4 linked regions of the Arabidopsis thaliana genome follow. The protein of the gene in region 4 interacts with the protein of the main gene of each other region in a pairwise test. Each region holds a gene or a part of one and is shown on either strand. Other genes may lie near its edges. The genes, in order: AT5G41030, AT1G22490, AT4G00270 and AT2G41450.

Region 1 (3,128 bases), on a different chromosome or scaffold from region 4:
CATCCACATATAATCAGAAAGATTGAGTTTTAATAGTAATGTATATTTGTATTTTTGCATTTGTTATCAACTTTTTTTTAAAATACGGATGGACTTTTAGGCCCTAATCAAATGTTAATGATTTGAGAAGTTTGGTTTCAGATTAGTTCTAGATCGCATTCGAATATTTTTCGGCTTATACTGTCATTGAGGCCCATTTCATTGATTATGGGCTGTTGACACAATACAATAAGAACATCGTACAGTTTCACTGTTCTCGTGGAAGGACGCGGATTGTTTTTCACCCAAGAAAACGTAGCGTAGTCCAAATTCTATCAGCAAGCCAGCTTCTGGGCAAAGAAACAAGATGAATTTCTAACTAAGGCAAAAACTTTCCTTTGTACAACGAAACTCAATCATCAGAGTGTTTGCTTAATTATGCAGAGAAGCCTCCATTCAGTACAGTTTAAAGAGCAGAACTTACTTCTTAACTTTATAAAGTAATCAGTACATCAAAGCTATTGATTAAAGAAAGGTCGAGCAAAATAAACTATGAATGAGCACATTGAGATTTCAGCAAAACCATATTTCATCTTCTCACTTTATGTATGCACAATCTAAAGCAAACGCCAAAAAAGGTTTGAGCTTTAGGAACCATTGTTCTCTTGCTGATCGAAGTAAAATAAGCTATGAATAAGCTATCAAGTTTGAGATTTCACTAGCAATCACATTCTCGCTAAATATATCTAATTAAAAGCCATTTAAAGGTTTGAGCTTTATGAACCATTTTCCTCTGCACTCTGCTGCTGATCTTCATGTGAATGATGATGAAGAACCCTGAACTGTTCTTTACCCATTTGTTGAAAAACCTGTGGATTCAAAACCCCAACTTGAGACAGCCTTAATTCAAGTCCAGGCGTTTGATTATCTCCAAAACCAATCTCTGGAACACCATTGAAATCAAACCCAATTCCGTAATTCAGATCAAACCCTCCAATGGTCTGTCCTGTTTCATTTCTCCACAACCCATTTGCCTCCATTTGAGTCCTTGAAGCTTCTTCAACGCTATGACAAATCATCAAATCAGCCGTGAGAGGAGGTTGAGAAACAACAGACTCAGTGGGTTTGATACCATTTACAGTAGCAGAGAGTATCGATGGCTCAGCATGTTGAAGCAACCATTCAAGAGTCTCACCATCTGATTTGTGACCTAATTCTTTAGTCAATTGATAAATCCTTGCTGCACAGAGTGGAGGTAACCTAACTCTACGACCTCTTCCTTCAACTTTAAGGTGACGATCTTTGTTTGGTTTCTTCTTCTCCTTCTCATAAAGAATCTGAATTTCTTGGTCTTCCTCTTCATTCTCCTTCTTCTTCCTCTTTTCGCCGACCACAATGTCGAAACCTTTAACCTCTGTTTGTTTCCTCTTCTTGTCGTTGTCCTGATTCTGTCGTGATGGGTTTAAGAAACTTGGTAGATTTTGGTTCTTCTTGGGCTCCATGACCATGTCAAGGTGTGGGGACGTACTTCTCTCTCTCTCTCAGATTCAAGGTGGGGCGTGTGTTGTGACCTCTTGACCTAAGTAAAAAAAAAGGGTAACAACTTTTTATTATTTTCACGCATTATTTTATTTTTTTTACATAATTAGAAGTTCTATAATCACGAAATATTCTTACTTACCGAATGAATTCCAATCCAAAGAAAAAAAAAAAAAAAAAAAAATAAAAAAAAAAATTCCAATCCAAAGCTCAATCAAATCAACATGGCAACATCCATGAGAGTTAACAAGGGCAAAATTAAATAATATGAAAACATTAGAAAAATTTAGTTTTGAGCATAAATCACACATTAAAAAGAATTTATTTAAATCAAAAGAGGTTATCAACATCATTAAAAACTAAGTTTTACATTCTTTCATCACTTGATAATAAGGTCAAAACTCAAAACAAACCTTTGTGTTTATGTTTTTTTATATCAGTTTTCGATTATATATGTTTAGTATGTTCTTCAATTGCATCCCTTTGATGAAAACTAGCTTTGTCCCAAATGATCATGTAAGATCCAAACTCCACCACACAAAACATTGAAGTTAATCCAAGAAGATTCTACATTTTTAAATACTTTTCCCAAGGTCTCTTATATACTGATTTATTCTAGTAGTAATTATTTGATTTCTTTTTCTTCCAAATCATTTAGAAATTTCACAATATAACCACCAACTTTGTAAGTTGTAACATAAGTGATAGAAATTAGATCAAACTCTTGTTAAAACTTGATAACGTCAAGAGCAATACGTTGGGCCTAGTAGTACTCAAGCCCCAAATATGGGTAGTGGGTCATTGAAGACCCAAGTTCAAAGGAATTTTTTTTAACAAAAGTAATTAAATACCCTAATCATCTCAAATTCATGAAGGAAGCCGCCGTATCCAAAAGCTCCTTCACAATCAATCTCAGCATCGCTGTGTCTTAAAATCACTCAATCGAAATTCGGATTTAGATTTGAGCGAAAGTCGCGGCGGTTTTTGTGATTAGGGTTTCGTAACCGTGTCCGCCGGTATATGAGATGGCTGAGGAGAAGAAGAATAAGAAGAAAAAGAGTGACGCTAAGGTTGATTCTGAAGAAACCGGTGAAGAATTCATTTCCGAGCACAGTTCTATGAAGGATAAGGAAAAGAAGAGGAAGAAGAATAAGCGAGAGAATAAGGATGGTTTTACTGGAGAAGATATGGAGATAACTGGGCGTGAAAGTGAGAAACTAGGTGATGAGGTTTTTATAGTTAAGAAGAAGAAGAAGTCGAAGAAGCCAATAAGGATTGATTCTGAAGCTGTTGATGCTGTGAAGAAGAAATCGAAAAAGAGAAGTAAGGAGACAAAGGCTGATTCCGAAGCTGAGGATGATGGTGTGGAGAAGAAATCCAAGGAGAAAAGTAAGGAGACAAAGGTTGATTCTGAAGCTCATGATGGTGTGAAGAGGAAGAAGAAGAAGAGCAAGAAAGAATCTGGTGGTGATGTGATAGAAAATACTGAAAGCTCCAAAGTATCTGATAAGAAAAAGGGAAAAAGAAAGCGGGATGATACTGATTTGGGAGCTGAAGAAAACATAGACAAGGAGGTGAAGAGGAAGAACAACAAGAAGAAACCAAGTGTG
Region 2 (4,548 bases), on a different chromosome or scaffold from region 4:
TATTCAAAGGAGACAAGATTACTATAGCTTAAATTCAATTTGAAGTGCATACAACAAGATTCTTTGTATCATCATGAAAAGTTTGTCCTGCAGTTTTATGTTCACATATTATTTATTTTTTCGGCAAATTGGTTCAGATTTTAAGATTCCAAGTGTCCGACCAAATTTGATTACAAAACGCAGCCTAGTCACATCTATCTAATTCTTTAAATTTTGTTTTCATATCAAAATTGATTTCTACTATTATATATTCCCAGAGTGATTAGATCAGAATAATCAAAAGATGCCACCTAATTTATATACATAACTTTTTTGGTTTTTGATGTTGAAAAGTAGTGACAAAAGATTTTTAATAGACCATCATTTTATAACATGCAAGTAAATATCTCGATTTAAATATATTTTTAATAACATCACGAAACAAATTTGTTAAAACCTGACATAAAGTGATCCCCACCGGCCAAAATAAATCTTCTATTGGTTGTGTATTTTCTGACAAACATTTGTTTTAAAGATTTTTAATTTTAATCGGATACTTAACCATATATTTGATATGGAAATACATTATATTTTTGTTTAAAGTAAAATAATAGAACATGAGTGTAACTAGACGACCCCCAACCTGCAAACAGATTATTTGGTCTTGTGGACTGGTCTACTACTATCTCACGTGCAAACTTGACGCTGCAATGTATACATTTATCTATATGCATCTATGTATCTAAATAGTAATTAGTAACCATAGATAATGGATCTAATTCCACGAAGTTGGATAGATATTCTAAGGTAATATCTGGTAGAATTTTAATTTTCAAACCAAAAAAATTGTTACCAGATGTGAATGCGTAGAACTAAAAATTAATTGGCGTAGACCGTCCTAACTGGAAACTCAAATAACTTTGTTTACAAGTAGCATGTAACTGTATATATATAATGCTTTAGAATTTTTATGGTCCAATTGAAAATTTCACATTTTCGTTTTATTGTATCACTCACTTGTCCGACTGACGTAGAATTGCACGTCTTAATTTTTTTTTGGCGAAAACGCTAATCCGCAACAAAAAAATTTGTTAAAGTAGTCCGTAACTTTTTTTTTGGTTAAAGTAATCCGCAACATGACATATTAGTACTAACGAACTATTGTTTTTTCTATTAATTTTTTGCTATATTTAGAATTTTAAGTAGTTTAGCCATCACCATCTGTGTATCCTTACACTATACATATTCGGAAAAACTCGAAAGAGGTTTTAACTGGTTATGATCACCACCAGCAGTCCAGCACCAGTTTTCTTTCACTCGAACGTCAATATAAATTCACTGCCCACTATATCAGCTTTACCATTTCTTAATAAATTATTTATTATTTATTTGATTTTGAACTAAGAAAGATTATGGGTTTTTAGGAATAGTTCCAAACAATTAACATCTTAATAATAAAATTACTATATAATAAAACTAATTTATATTAAAAACATTATGAACAATTTTTTTCTTTATTTTCTTAACCTCTAATTATTATGAACAAGTTATTTAAATACAATTGGGATGATTATTACAAGTGCACTTTATATCTCCTTTTCAGTGTTTTTTATATATATATTGGTGACAAATACATCTTTTCTTTAGTTTTATTTTTCTTTTCGTTTTTGATCTCTGCGGGAGCATTTATTTTTGGTCAACTGTGAGAGCATCAAAAAAAAAAAAAAAAAAATTAATAGCCTCACAAAGCTTCTCTCAATTCCCTTTTTAAATAAATCACACCACTTTGTTTGATCCTCATATTTCGGTTTTCACTCTCATATCTTTCTTTTGTATATTTATTTTTGTTGAAGATTCACTCTCCTATTCTTCCTCCATGCCGGTGAGTTCTTGAGAATTTAATATTTTGTAAATCAATTTACAAAAAATCTTCATATAACTAATACCATGCTTAGTTTCCTTTAGTGGGCTTAACCCTTTTGCCTTTATTTCCCCCTCGAGACAAAAAGGAGAGCGACAAACACTTCCTGTCTAAATTTTGTTTTCTCTCCTTCTCTCTCCCTCTCTCGGTTTCTCAATCTTTCTTATTTTTTCCATAATTCTGAATTTTTCTTTTCAACAATCTCCGGCTAAAAAATGCCCTTAGAGGCTGTCGTATACCCGCAAGATCCATTCGGATATCTCTCCAATTGCAAAGATTTTATGTTCCACGACTTATACTCTCAAGAAGAGTTCGTAGCTCAAGATACGAAGAACAACATTGATAAGTTAGGGCATGAACAGAGCTTTGTGGAACAAGGTAAGGAGGACGATCATCAATGGCGAGACTATCATCAGTATCCTTTGTTGATCCCTTCGTTGGGAGAAGAGCTTGGTCTTACCGCCATTGATGTGGAGAGTCATCCTCCTCCACAGCACCGGAGGAAGAGGAGGAGAACGAGAAACTGCAAGAACAAGGAAGAGATCGAGAACCAGAGAATGACTCACATCGCCGTCGAGAGAAATCGCCGGAAACAGATGAACGAGTATCTGGCTGTGCTCCGTTCTCTAATGCCGTCGTCGTATGCTCAAAGAGTAACTTACTAATTCAATGTTTATATATGCTATATATCATTTGGTCAGGGTCATTCTTAGGTATATGTGTCTTTGTTTTATTACTTGCTTGGCTGTAGTACTCATTTCTCCATAATATATTAACACAAAAGAATAGAATGAAAATGACTGAGAATATATATTGATGTTTTTATACAATATATTAACAAGAAAATCCACCGTAAATATGGAAGGGTGACGCGTTTATATACATACTAATAATCTTTGCTGTTACATATTTTAATGTATTTTTTAAAATAAAATATTATGTGTCACCAAAAATTAGAACGAGTATGATTGAGAATATTGGGATATGTTTTAGAACAATTTCGTAATAAACTTAAGCAATTAGCAATGATACGTGTGTGTGTATATTTATACATTCAAAGATTTTTTCAATCTTTATGATAACTATATGATCTGACATGAGCGGGTTTTGGTGGTAAAGGGAGATCAAGCGTCGATAGTAGGAGGAGCTATAAACTACGTGAAGGAGTTAGAGCATATTTTACAATCTATGGAGCCGAAGAGAACTAGGACTCATGATCCCAAAGGAGACAAGACTAGCACTAGCTCGTTAGTGGGTCCATTCACAGATTTTTTCAGCTTCCCACAATATTCTACAAAGTCATCATCAGATGTACCGGAAAGCTCATCTTCACCGGCGGAGATAGAGGTTACGGTGGCAGAAAGCCATGCGAACATCAAGATAATGACGAAGAAGAAACCGAGGCAGCTTCTTAAGCTCATAACTTCTTTACAAAGCCTAAGGCTCACTCTTCTTCATCTCAATGTCACCACTCTCCACAACTCCATTCTCTACTCCATCAGCGTCAGGGTACGTACATTTTCAACTTCTCATCATTACTTTGTTTGCTTTTGGGGTAATCATGAGATTAAAGTGAGTAATGACTGTGTGTGTGGTGCATATGGTTTCACTTTGTTGATTTATTTTTTTGTCTCTTATTGTTGGGGGGAAATTTTGGATTAGTACTATTGTGGTTATGCCTGGGCTTTAAAAAGGTTGTGAAGAAAAATTAAAATCATTCTCTTTGTTTTTTTCTTACCTCCTTTGGGTACTTAGGGCTGGGGCCTCAATAGTTGTGGGTCAAACTCATAATCATCATTTTGATTATTATTTTTGTCAATAATAAATTGCGTATCTTAATCGTGCCTGTAAGAATCAGGGGACCAACCTAAAGAAACGAAACACGAATATGTGTCTATCTATATCCACGAATTGTATACGTGGTGTTGTGTATTTATATATGTTTATGTATATGTTTATGTACTGTGGATATATGTTCGGTGGTCACATAATTGTAGATGAGATATGTACGGACAACGAAGTGAGTCCACCATTTGTTTCAGGAGATATTTAGCAAATAGAAAGATATTTTGTTATAGTTATCTACATCCTTCTAATTTTGTTTGTTGCAACTTTTTTCAAGAATTGTTATGTATATCTTTATTTCTTAAGAGAAAATGTGTTGGTTCAGGTTGAAGAAGGAAGCCAACTGAATACCGTGGACGACATTGCAACAGCTTTGAATCAAACCATAAGGAGGATTCAAGAAGAGACATAATTCAGCAAATAGATTATAATTAACTTGTTTTATTTTTATTTTATTTTGAAATAACTGAAATCAGTTTTCTAATTTTTTTTTTTTTTCACTATTCCTCTAATCCTCCCTATGTAAGTTGCATTTTTGTCTCTTGTAATGAATCAATGGTCATAAAGATCTGAACAAAAAAATTGAATAAAAGAAAATGGTTTAAGTCGATAAGTATGTGACATTGGGCGCTAATAGCCGTTAGGCCTACGCCTAATGTACTTCTCAGTGTTTTTAGGGTTGTGTTTAGTGTATAATTATAATGATTAATAGTATGATTGATTAATTTTTGAATTTATTTTCTTCAAAGATGAATTCGTCTTTTTCTAGAACTTTTAAAGTTTGTGGGTTCAACTTTTAATCC
Region 3 (3,626 bases), on a different chromosome or scaffold from region 4:
TTCGACAGAGCAAGAAAGCGATGAAGAGAGTATCCACGACGAGAAAATCTCAAGAAGAAAGTCTTTACTATCCGAAAACCGATTTGTGACATTAACTCTAACACCTTATACAATCCAAAGTTCTCTACTGGTACGTTTCATCATTCCAAGCCATTGTCTTTTAACAGTCTATAGAATGAGAATCTTTTGTGTGAATCTATGTTTCAGCGTCTTCCGGTTCCTTTCACGAGGATGAATGGTATCAATGAAGAAACTAAAATGACTCTGTTGGATAAACATGGTGTGAAGTGGTTAACGACTCTGCGGTTCGAGGACGACAAAAGAAAAAGACTACGAATGGTAGGAGGATGGCAAGGATTCATCCAAGCTAACGATGTGAAGGCAAACGAATCCATCATGTTGGAACTGATTTGGGAAGAAGAAACAAGTTGCGTCCTTAAGTTCTGCTCCAAGGTGAAGCTAGAAATCAAATGAAACTCTATATTGAAATGAATCAATGTTTGACTCTTTTATTTGGTAAGATATAACTCTTAAGGTTTCATTGTCTTAGAGAGTAAGAACAAAAACCATTTTTCTTTTAATCTTCTACATTGTTAATATCTTGGATAATATTACAAGACACACACACACTCTTACTTATACTACTTCACTACACTCTTAGGCACACACACAAGCATGCCTTAAAGCACATTATTAACCCTAGACTCTAGACTCTTGCACAAGCCACTCTACTACATTGGCTCTTGTGGATACTTGAGTAAAAAGTGGAATATCTTACAAACACTTGCCCAAGTAGAAGAAAGACAGGATCCAAAGATAAATACACTGAACAGACTAGAGCTTATGACTTACTAAGAACCTAAACAACACCAAATGCTACAAGGGCATATTGGTTTCATCTAACTATCATTAGCTGCCTCTGCAAGCTTGGCGGAAAATCTAAGCTTCTTGATATTGAATCTTGTTTCCTCAACACATAACGCTTTCCATTCATCACTCAACTCTCTTCTTTTACCATTTCCAAGGTTCATCAGCTTCTCAAGCTGCAACTTCTTTTGATAACCACTTAAACCTTGCGACATCACCGCCTCAAATGCATCCTGCACCGCGCATAACTCATCATCATCATCATTGTCCTCATCATGTCTCTCTTTTCCACTACTAGTCCCATTCTCTGTTGTTTTGGCTGCCCCATTCTCATTTAAAAGTTCAGTATTAGCCACTTCCTCCTCGTGCTCCTTCAACATCTCCTCCCCGCTCTCGTTAGTCCGGTTTTCCGCTGCACCATTTCCGTTTACCTCGTGCTCCTTATCCATACCATCATCATCACCTTGTCCCCAAATCATCGAAGAAAACCCAAAGGCTTCAGAATCACTAGACCTAGTAAATTTGGGATCATTCCCTTGATTGATTTTCTCCGAGTGAACATGAAACCTCCTTTTCAACTTCCTGATTTTACTCAAAACCTGATCCTTGGAGAATCTCTCAACGATAGAACTTCCGAGGAAACTACAAAACGCATCCCAATCAATTTTGGGATTGAATCCTGTCTTAGCTCTGTAATCAACTAACCCCTGAGCAATTTCGAAAATCTGGTTTTAGAAAATCACAATGCAAAACCAAATCAAACTATAAATGGAGAAGATCAATACAATACCTTTAAGATAGAGAGCTCATCTTCCTCGTTCCAGATCCGGACGATCAACGGCGGATCCAATTTCTTCTTCTTCTTCTTCATCTTCATCTTCTTCTTCATAGTCTCTTCTTCTGCGACGGAAGCAGCACGCTTTGAGGAAGGAATATTCCGTGGAGATCTTCGATGGGAGAGGGTACCGTTGGAGTTATCAGCACCAACACAGGAAGAGAAATCGATCTGCTTCGGAGTCACCATGCTTATTGCTTGCTTTAGACTTGCTGATTCTAGGGCGCATGCAGAGCAGTGATTCCCAATCTTCACGACCTTTAAAAAGTGAAACCCGAGAGAAAAAGAAAAGCAAAATAGGATGAGTAACACTTGGCCATACTTTTCTCAACATTCATAACAAAACAAACACTTTCATCTTTTTTTCTACTGTTTAATATTCATCAATAGTACAATTTTGCTCTTGCAAAAATCTATCATTTTAGTCACTTAATAGTATAAAATATTTTATCTACCTTTTTTATATAATAAATTAAAATTTAGTTTTTTCTACATTTTAAGATTCATTGCTGATATATTTTAAGTAAATAATTATATTATATATTATCCATTTCTGATTGAATATTTTTTTATTATTAAATAGATATTAAAAGGTATTTGAACAAAACATATTACACGATAAATTAATAAATTTTGTCGGTCTCAAATCGGGGTAATGTAAAAATTAACCAAAATCGATAAGATAATAAGATAATATTTTTTTTGAAATCCCTATGTAAAAATATGGTACCAGTAATATCATAAAATTAATAATCATAAATCTTTAGCATACATTCAAAGACTAATTTTATATGAAACTTTTGTTCAAGTCATAATTGCAACTCTTTCTAGAGTATAGTTGGTGTGATCTCTTTTGTATTCACATAACTCTTTGCGTATTTGATCCGTCATATTTGGTTTTGTAACTTTTTTTATATGAAAAATCATTGTTAAGATTTGTGTAATAAAAAATTGGATTAAGTCTCACGTTAACGTCGTATACATGCACAATATCTTACAGAGAAAAAATAAAAAAAGTAATAAAAAAAAATCTAACAGAATATACAAACAATAAAACATAAAGAAAAACTAAATTAAAATTTTTCTTTTTAAAAAATTAATATTGTATTTTACGTATAAATTTTTATAAATTAATAAATGTACTACTATCATAGTAACACCTACAAACTGATATGCATATATACACAAATGAGAGTTAACACTATATATATATCGATTGTACCTTGTGTAGTGGAACACTTTATTGTTGTAAATACATAATCCTCAACTATTAGTGTCTATGTATGTCAAACAAATGAAACAATGAAAGCAATCCAAATTAAATGAACAGATTACAATGTAAAATGCCTTCATCCATCTCCGCCATTAGCATGATAGGAACTTGTACTCGATTTCGAGATCCAAGGAATATTACAAAAGGAACGTAACCGTGCTTCTTTATGATCTTCACCACCTCAAGAAGGACCTCTTGTTATATTGTATAGCTCCTCTTTTCCCTGAGACAAATGACCACAATTCTAATGTAAAAAGATCACATCAAGCGACACAATACTCCATCGGTCAAAGATCATTCTTTTAGCCAAAACTTCATTGATTAAGGCTTTGAATGGGAGGGAAGCAGAAAAAATACATGTTTACCTTTGCATATAGTGCTCCTATTATCAAGACATTATTTCTGTATTTTCCTTTTTGTTTTAATATTTAGAGTTAAGATTTCTGTTATTTAAAAACAGTTGATCTATGCATGCAGTCCTTCTCTTACCAAGACATCATTCATGTATTTTTATTTTTGTTTTAACATAACATTTTTGTTATTTAAAATCAGTTGACATGTGCATGTAGTGCTTATGTTACCAATACATCATTTATGTATTTTTATTTCATATTTTATTATTTAAAATCAGTGTATCTTTCTATGTATTCC
Region 4 (5,874 bases):
ACAAACTCTAGAGATGACAACAAACATTTGGTGATTTCAAAAAAACAATGTTATTTAGAACATTAGAATTGATTTCTTTCTGATTCAAGTGTTGTCGATTTCAAAAAACATTTGGGAATCCATTTTGCGATTTAGAACATTAGAATTGTAATCTCTAACACAGATCCCAACAAATTCTAGCTCAAAAGCAGAAAGAGACAGATGAAGCAAAAAAGCTACGATTAACAAAGAGAATTAGCTGGAAAAAGGTTTTTAAGGAGCGATAATGGTGGAAATGGCACGAAACACGAACGGATCCATGTGCAAGCGAGAGAGCAATCCGAAATGTTTTAGCTTTGCCCTGGTGAGGGTAAAGATGTGTATTGGGCTGAGTTTTAGTCGGCCCATTACTGAGATGTGTATTGGGCTGAGTTTGAAACTCCTACGCTTATTCATTCATTGTTCTAAATGTTTGCGAAAATATCCCTCAGTTCTTTACCTTTTTGCGATTTAACCCTCAGTTTCCTTTCATATTTCAAAATTATCTCAAACTTTTAAATGTAACTTAAACCAACCTTCAAGTAACACATTTTTATTTTTATACATAAATAGACCGGCGACTTGAGTTTGCTTCTTAGCCTATCCATTCAACTTCCGACAATGTCTCTAAACATAAAAAGATAATAAGTGAGATTTTCCAAGCTAAAGATCATAGGAGGTTTCGAGTTCGAGTCATCATCATAAGGACTCAACAAACTGAGGAACTTGAAGATCAAGTTGTTGCTTCATGACACAGTTCATGAACCATTCGCTGCTGAATGTCCAAATTCCTTTCTTTGCTGCAAATAATGCCCCTACTGTGTCTTCTTCGCACCCTATGTATATCGCTTTTGACGCCTCCTTTACCTTATTCACTCCACTTATCACCTGCAGATAACACATGAATATTACAATGTTTTGGATTCAAATGTGAAACACTTGAAACAAGTTGTTAACTAATACTTACATTTCCACCAGCAGATTTGATGATAGCAGATGAAGTTTTGATAGGCAGTTCAATGTTAGGTCCAACGCATATGTCATATCCTTTTAGCAACGAGTTTGGTCTAGCTTTTGCTCTAAGAACTGTGCTTTTTAGATCAGTATCATATTTCAACTGGTAGTCTTCGTCATGCAGTATGTGTGAAGCTTCATCTATTAAACAAAAATAGTGTCAGCATTATAATTCATTAGTAAGTACCCATCAGAGATAGATAATTATATCTCATCTTACTAGCAAATCTTCCTTCTCGGACACTTTCTTTTAACCAACTTGGTGATACTATCCACGCCCTGCAAGCAAGTATGATGGACCATAAACCGCGTCATTCCTATGATTTTACGCATAAGTTCACAATGGCTAATATGATGCCTGTATATTTGAGACTAACCCAGAGCAAAGAGCAGTGCAGAGATTCAGAGTTTTCCTGACTTTTCCGGTGACAATATGCGTGCTCGTTGTGCCATCCAAGGTCACAGTACCACCAAGTTTTCTTATTACCTGCATAGAAATCAGAAGACAACGTAAGGTGGATACAAAACCCATTTAAGGAACAAATAACTCAGAAAGATTTATATACCTCTGTTAACCAAGCTCTCTTGTTTTCATCACAAATGTCCATCAACAAGATTCTATAGTGTTGTCCATTTGGACGAGCTTCCATGTCTATCCCAGTTGCCATTCTACATTGTTCAACGTCGTTTCTTTTGCAGATTGTGGGCAGGGAATCCTTGGTTATATCTACTTGGGAGGAATTACCATCTTTCGATTGCTTTGCAGAGCTCTGAGCCAAATCTGTTTTTGCTATCTCAGAGTTATTATTGTTGTTTGCCCGAATCCTTTTAGATTGTAGAGAGGACAATGAAGCTTCCCAAGATCTCTTTAAGCCTGGTGTTGAACATTTGGTCTCACTGTCAGCTGTGGTAGCTTGATCAGAGATCACGTTGTTGTTTTCCTTTCCTGTGATCGAGTCCATTGGACTTCTGATACCAGAGATACCTGTGTACGGCACATTATAACAGAAACTTCAGAGACATATTCAAATGCTTCATGATGTGGTATCTTCTTCAGAGACATTCTCTTAGGCTATTTGACGAAAGAAATAGTTTTAAACTTACAGTCAAGATATACGCTTTCACCAAAGCTCTCTCTCAGTTTAACTGAATCTCCAGTCACAGGACCTGTGCTATTATTTCTTGCCGAGAGTGGAGATCCCTCACACTGATATTTCCATGAAGAGGAAATCTCAAGGTTTGAAATAAATTCCTTGTTCAGATGAGAAAGCATGAGAGTTGAACCGCCAGGAAAACACAAGGCTTTTCGAATATTAGACTTAATGTGCAACCCCTTTGCTTTTCCTTTGTGGTCTACCTCTGCTAATTTTATAAACCCCTGAAAATTCGTAAAGTAATATAAGAAACCAAACAGTCAAAGCACTTAAAAAAGATAGTTTAGTTTGAATCCAACAAACTAATAAAGATAAAACACCAACAACCATAAACATAGTGATAAAGTGATAATATCACCTGTTTAAGCCAGAATCCTTCAGATTCTTTGTCTGCCCAACAATATATAGTTCGAATGCCAACACTATGAAGCCTCTTCATTAATTCTTCATAGACGAGCTTACCAAATCCCTGAAAATGTATTAAAAGAAACTCATCTATTTAGTTTTTGATGAGGTTTCTAGCACGCTATTTTTAGTAAAACCAGTTGCAGAAAGAAAAAGTTTACAGTTCTAAGAAGCACTTAAAACCAAGTATGCAATATCTAATACATAAACTTATAGACATGAACTATTAAACACAAGACCTTTAGTAAAAGCGTTGCACAAAAAAAGCTATTACAACAGTAAGTGTCAAAAGAGTCAGAGCAAAACGAACCTTTTTCTGGTGTGTATATGTTACAGCAGCAAGAGGTATCTCAGCATACTGTGTATCAGCAGGGACTATTTGATAAGTGATTGCAGCTAAGATCTACAAAAGCACACGCCAAATAATCAATTCAGATGTGGTAAAGCAGACAATCTAAAATACGATTCATTGGCAGATTGAATAAAACAGATTCTTCCTATTGGAACAAAACAGCATGCTGGTTAGAATAATACGTCTCTTCAAGATTCTTCCAAGGCCTAGGCTGCTTTTGATCAAGAACTTACTAAACCAAAGCTTATTAATTACCTCATCTGAGTCTCCACCAAGCGTGGACTTCAAAACCAATGAACAATACTTTCTGCAAGATAATGCAATTCAAATAAATACAGCATTAGATAACTCTTCCATTCATATCAAAAATGGGTTCCGTTCTCAATGTTTTTATTAGTGACAAACGGCCAAAAGAAGTCTCTATACTTAAAAGTCCAGCTTGAAACATAAAGAAAGGTTATGATAAAGAGACGATTTTTACCCTTTAGAGACACATCTCTCAAGAAATGCAGATTGCTTCCCAGTGTTTGAAGCATATCTCATGTCAGGTAACTCTTTGCTATATAACTTCAAAACTTCCTGAATGAGTTAAGTTAATAGTACTTATGAGCAATAGATTCCCTAAAGTAATGCCTTTTTCTCAAAAGAAACCAATTTTTAAGTGCTTTGGTAAGATTCCACTTACTTGGAGATGAGATTTGGTAAAATCATCTTCATCCCGAGGATTAAGAAGAAGAAACATGTCTTCTTTCGGATAATCAGAAACGATTTTATCCTTCTCTAAACAAAACCAAACAAGAAACTAAGTAAGATATTATGCAGAAAAGTTGACAACTTGAACGTTTGTTACACATTTTGCTAGTAGCCGCATAACATCAATAGATGAAATTGAATTAGATAATCAAATCATAGAGCCCAAAATGACTAACAATCAAATTAGAGTGGAAAAAAAACAAAACCGCAAGAATCCAAATTCTAGACGAACCTGAGATTTTTACTCTGTAGTTTCTGGGAAATTTAATTTGAATGCTTTTGGGTCCAGATTCACAGGTGAAATTCTTACCATCCACTGCAACCTCGTAATCACCTGGAGAAATCGAATCAAAACACACGAAGATTCATTTGATTGATCGGAGTATTCTGAATAAAATCAAGGGCTTTCCGAGTTCTTACCGATAGAGTACAGAGAAGACTGCATCGGCGATGCTCTCTTTGGCGCCATTGTAAAAATTCAGAGCGGGATTTCAAATAATTTACTTTTCAGAAAACTGGAAAAAAAAACGAAACGTCGAGTGTATAAATAAGTTTATCAGAGGGTATTTTCGTATTAACATAGGTGTCTTAAAGCTCTGTTCTAGCCAAAGCGCTGCGTTTTGGAGCGTTTCTGATCGTCTGACTAATCATTTGTTCGAATGTCAAATCGACGACTTGTGGAGTCAAAAAACCAAATCTTCAAGAGTCAAGACGAGACTTTTCGCATCAAACGAAAAAACCCGAATGTTATAGGTTTTTTTAGGTAATTTAAGTATTTTGGTTACATTTGGATAAAAAGTAACCAATATATTTACTGATAATCGGGTATTTTGGGTAGATTTAAGTATATGTGAGTAAAAAATCCCGAATCCGACCCAAACCCGAAAATATTTTGGATATTTTTGGTTATTTTTATATTTTTACTAAAATAACTAAACCGACCCGAATCTGAACCAAATTTTTAGAATACCCGAATAGTTCTCAACCTCCTATCCGAATAGACCCGATACCCGAAAAAAAAGAACCGATCCCGAACGCCCACGCCTAATTTTGAGGATCAAGGTGATGTTGATAGAAGAGGTCGGAAAGTTCTAAGTATGAAGCAAAAAAATGATATAACAGAAATCTGTAACATGCCACGACTATGATAATAGATTAGTAAATTTACTTAAGACATATTAAAATCAACTAAGAGAGGCCCGACATGAGGAAAGTCAGGATTGACGATAAACTAAAATAGAAATAGAGAAACCAGAAGTCACTTAAGAGTCTCATAGAAAGATTTGATGGCCGGGTGTGGCCTTCTGAGCTTTCATCGTCCCTCGCGCTCAGCTCCGGCCGGGAACCTCTCTTAACAGATATCTGCGCTTCTTAGCGATTTTTTCCATTGTTGGTGCATACATATGCTCGTGCAACTCCTGCAATCCATGTACTATCTTAGCTTGAAGTAAGGCCAGCTCGGCATTGTTCATACCGTCGAGCTGTCTACCGTTCATTCTCCTGTCAGTTTTCACGAAAAGAAGGAAAAAGAAACAAACCATCAGAAACAAAGTGAAACTGACATCGACTCTGTAGAGAGCAACAAGTGGGATGGCGACGCATTTACTCCTTCAACAGCCATAATCTCCCGTATTCGATCATCATGGGTTCAGCATTTCGTCTCTCGAATTGTAGCTGCAGTTGCGACTGCAATAAAAGATGCACAAGTATAACAAGACAATGTGGGGTAAAGAGAGAGGCATGCAGGACTGTGAAAGAATATTAATATACATACCAGCGGTGGTGCTGGTGCTTCATCACCTTGTCTCTCACCCGTGCTGTAGATATACCAAGACCAAATCAGGCTTTAATGGGGCACCAGACAACTACAACTTAGAACCAAAAATTCCTACTTAAGCTAGGAAGGAGGAGACAACCTGCTGGTAGAGAATTTGCAGGGAACAGAAACCTCTCTCCCCATACCATCCTCTGCGTCCTTCCTCTACAAAAAATGTAAGAAAGCTTCAAACATGGAAGATATTACAAGAATCAACATGAACAGCAGCTCCTAGCAGATTCACAAACAATAATTTCATAGGGCAGATGAAGTGCCTAGGAAATGTTTACCCGTATAAGCATCCACCCATCATCTTCTTTAAGCAGCTGCTCTATCTTCTTCTGTAACAGTTTAAAAAATAA

Evidence for each region.
Region 1: the proteins of AT2G41450 (region 4) and AT5G41030 interact in a two-hybrid assay, tested with the Arabidopsis thaliana proteins (one large-scale study listed by BioGRID).
Region 2: the proteins of AT2G41450 (region 4) and AT1G22490 interact in a two-hybrid assay, tested with the Arabidopsis thaliana proteins (one large-scale study listed by BioGRID).
Region 3: the proteins of AT2G41450 (region 4) and AT4G00270 interact in a two-hybrid assay, tested with the Arabidopsis thaliana proteins (one large-scale study listed by BioGRID).

The regions. Positions count from the first base shown.
Region 1 is NC_003076.8:16,427,065-16,430,192, reverse strand, and holds AT5G41030 (TCP family transcription factor), read right to left. Parts: upstream 1,488-3,128; coding exon 756-1,487; 3' UTR 514-755; downstream 1-513. Other genes in the region: AT5G41025 (uncharacterized protein), read right to left, coding at 2,758-3,003; AT5G41020 (myb family transcription factor), read left to right, coding at 2,544-3,128.
Region 2 is NC_003070.9:7,938,057-7,942,604, reverse strand, and holds AT1G22490 (basic helix-loop-helix (bHLH) DNA-binding superfamily protein), read left to right. Parts: upstream 1-1,979; 5' UTR 1,980-2,115; coding exon 2,116-2,553; intron 2,554-3,019; coding exon 3,020-3,562; 3' UTR 3,563-4,008; downstream 4,009-4,548.
Region 3 is NC_003075.7:116,578-120,203, forward strand, and holds AT4G00270 (DNA-binding storekeeper protein-related transcriptional regulator), read right to left. Parts: upstream 2,067-3,626; 5' UTR 1,892-2,066; coding exon 1,658-1,891; intron 1,575-1,657; coding exon 900-1,574; 3' UTR 508-899; downstream 1-507. Other genes in the region: MEE45 (Transcriptional factor B3 family protein), read left to right, coding at 1-130, 175-474. UniProt on the Arabidopsis thaliana protein: DNA-binding protein, which specifically recognizes the GL1 enhancer sequence. May be involved in leaf initiation. May play redundant roles with GPL1 and GPL2 in cytokinin responses by regulating the transcript levels of type-A ARR response genes.
Region 4 is NC_003071.7:17,276,481-17,282,354, reverse strand, and holds AT2G41450 (N-acetyltransferase), read right to left. Parts: upstream 4,208-5,874; 5' UTR 4,166-4,207; coding exon 4,117-4,165; intron 4,115-4,116; exon of another isoform or gene 4,031-4,114; coding exon 3,929-4,030; intron 3,724-3,928; coding exon 3,629-3,723; intron 3,523-3,628; coding exon 3,425-3,522; intron 3,251-3,424; coding exon 3,199-3,250; intron 2,995-3,198; coding exon 2,902-2,994; intron 2,656-2,901; coding exon 2,545-2,655; intron 2,411-2,544; coding exon 2,137-2,410; intron 2,018-2,136; coding exon 1,599-2,017; intron 1,520-1,598; coding exon 1,410-1,519; intron 1,312-1,409; coding exon 1,253-1,311; intron 1,174-1,252; coding exon 986-1,173; intron 907-985; coding exon 718-906; 3' UTR 525-717; downstream 1-524. Other genes in the region: AT2G41445 (agamous-like MADS-box protein), read right to left, coding at 5,025-5,196, 5,303-5,382, 5,471-5,513, 5,613-5,677, 5,803-5,853.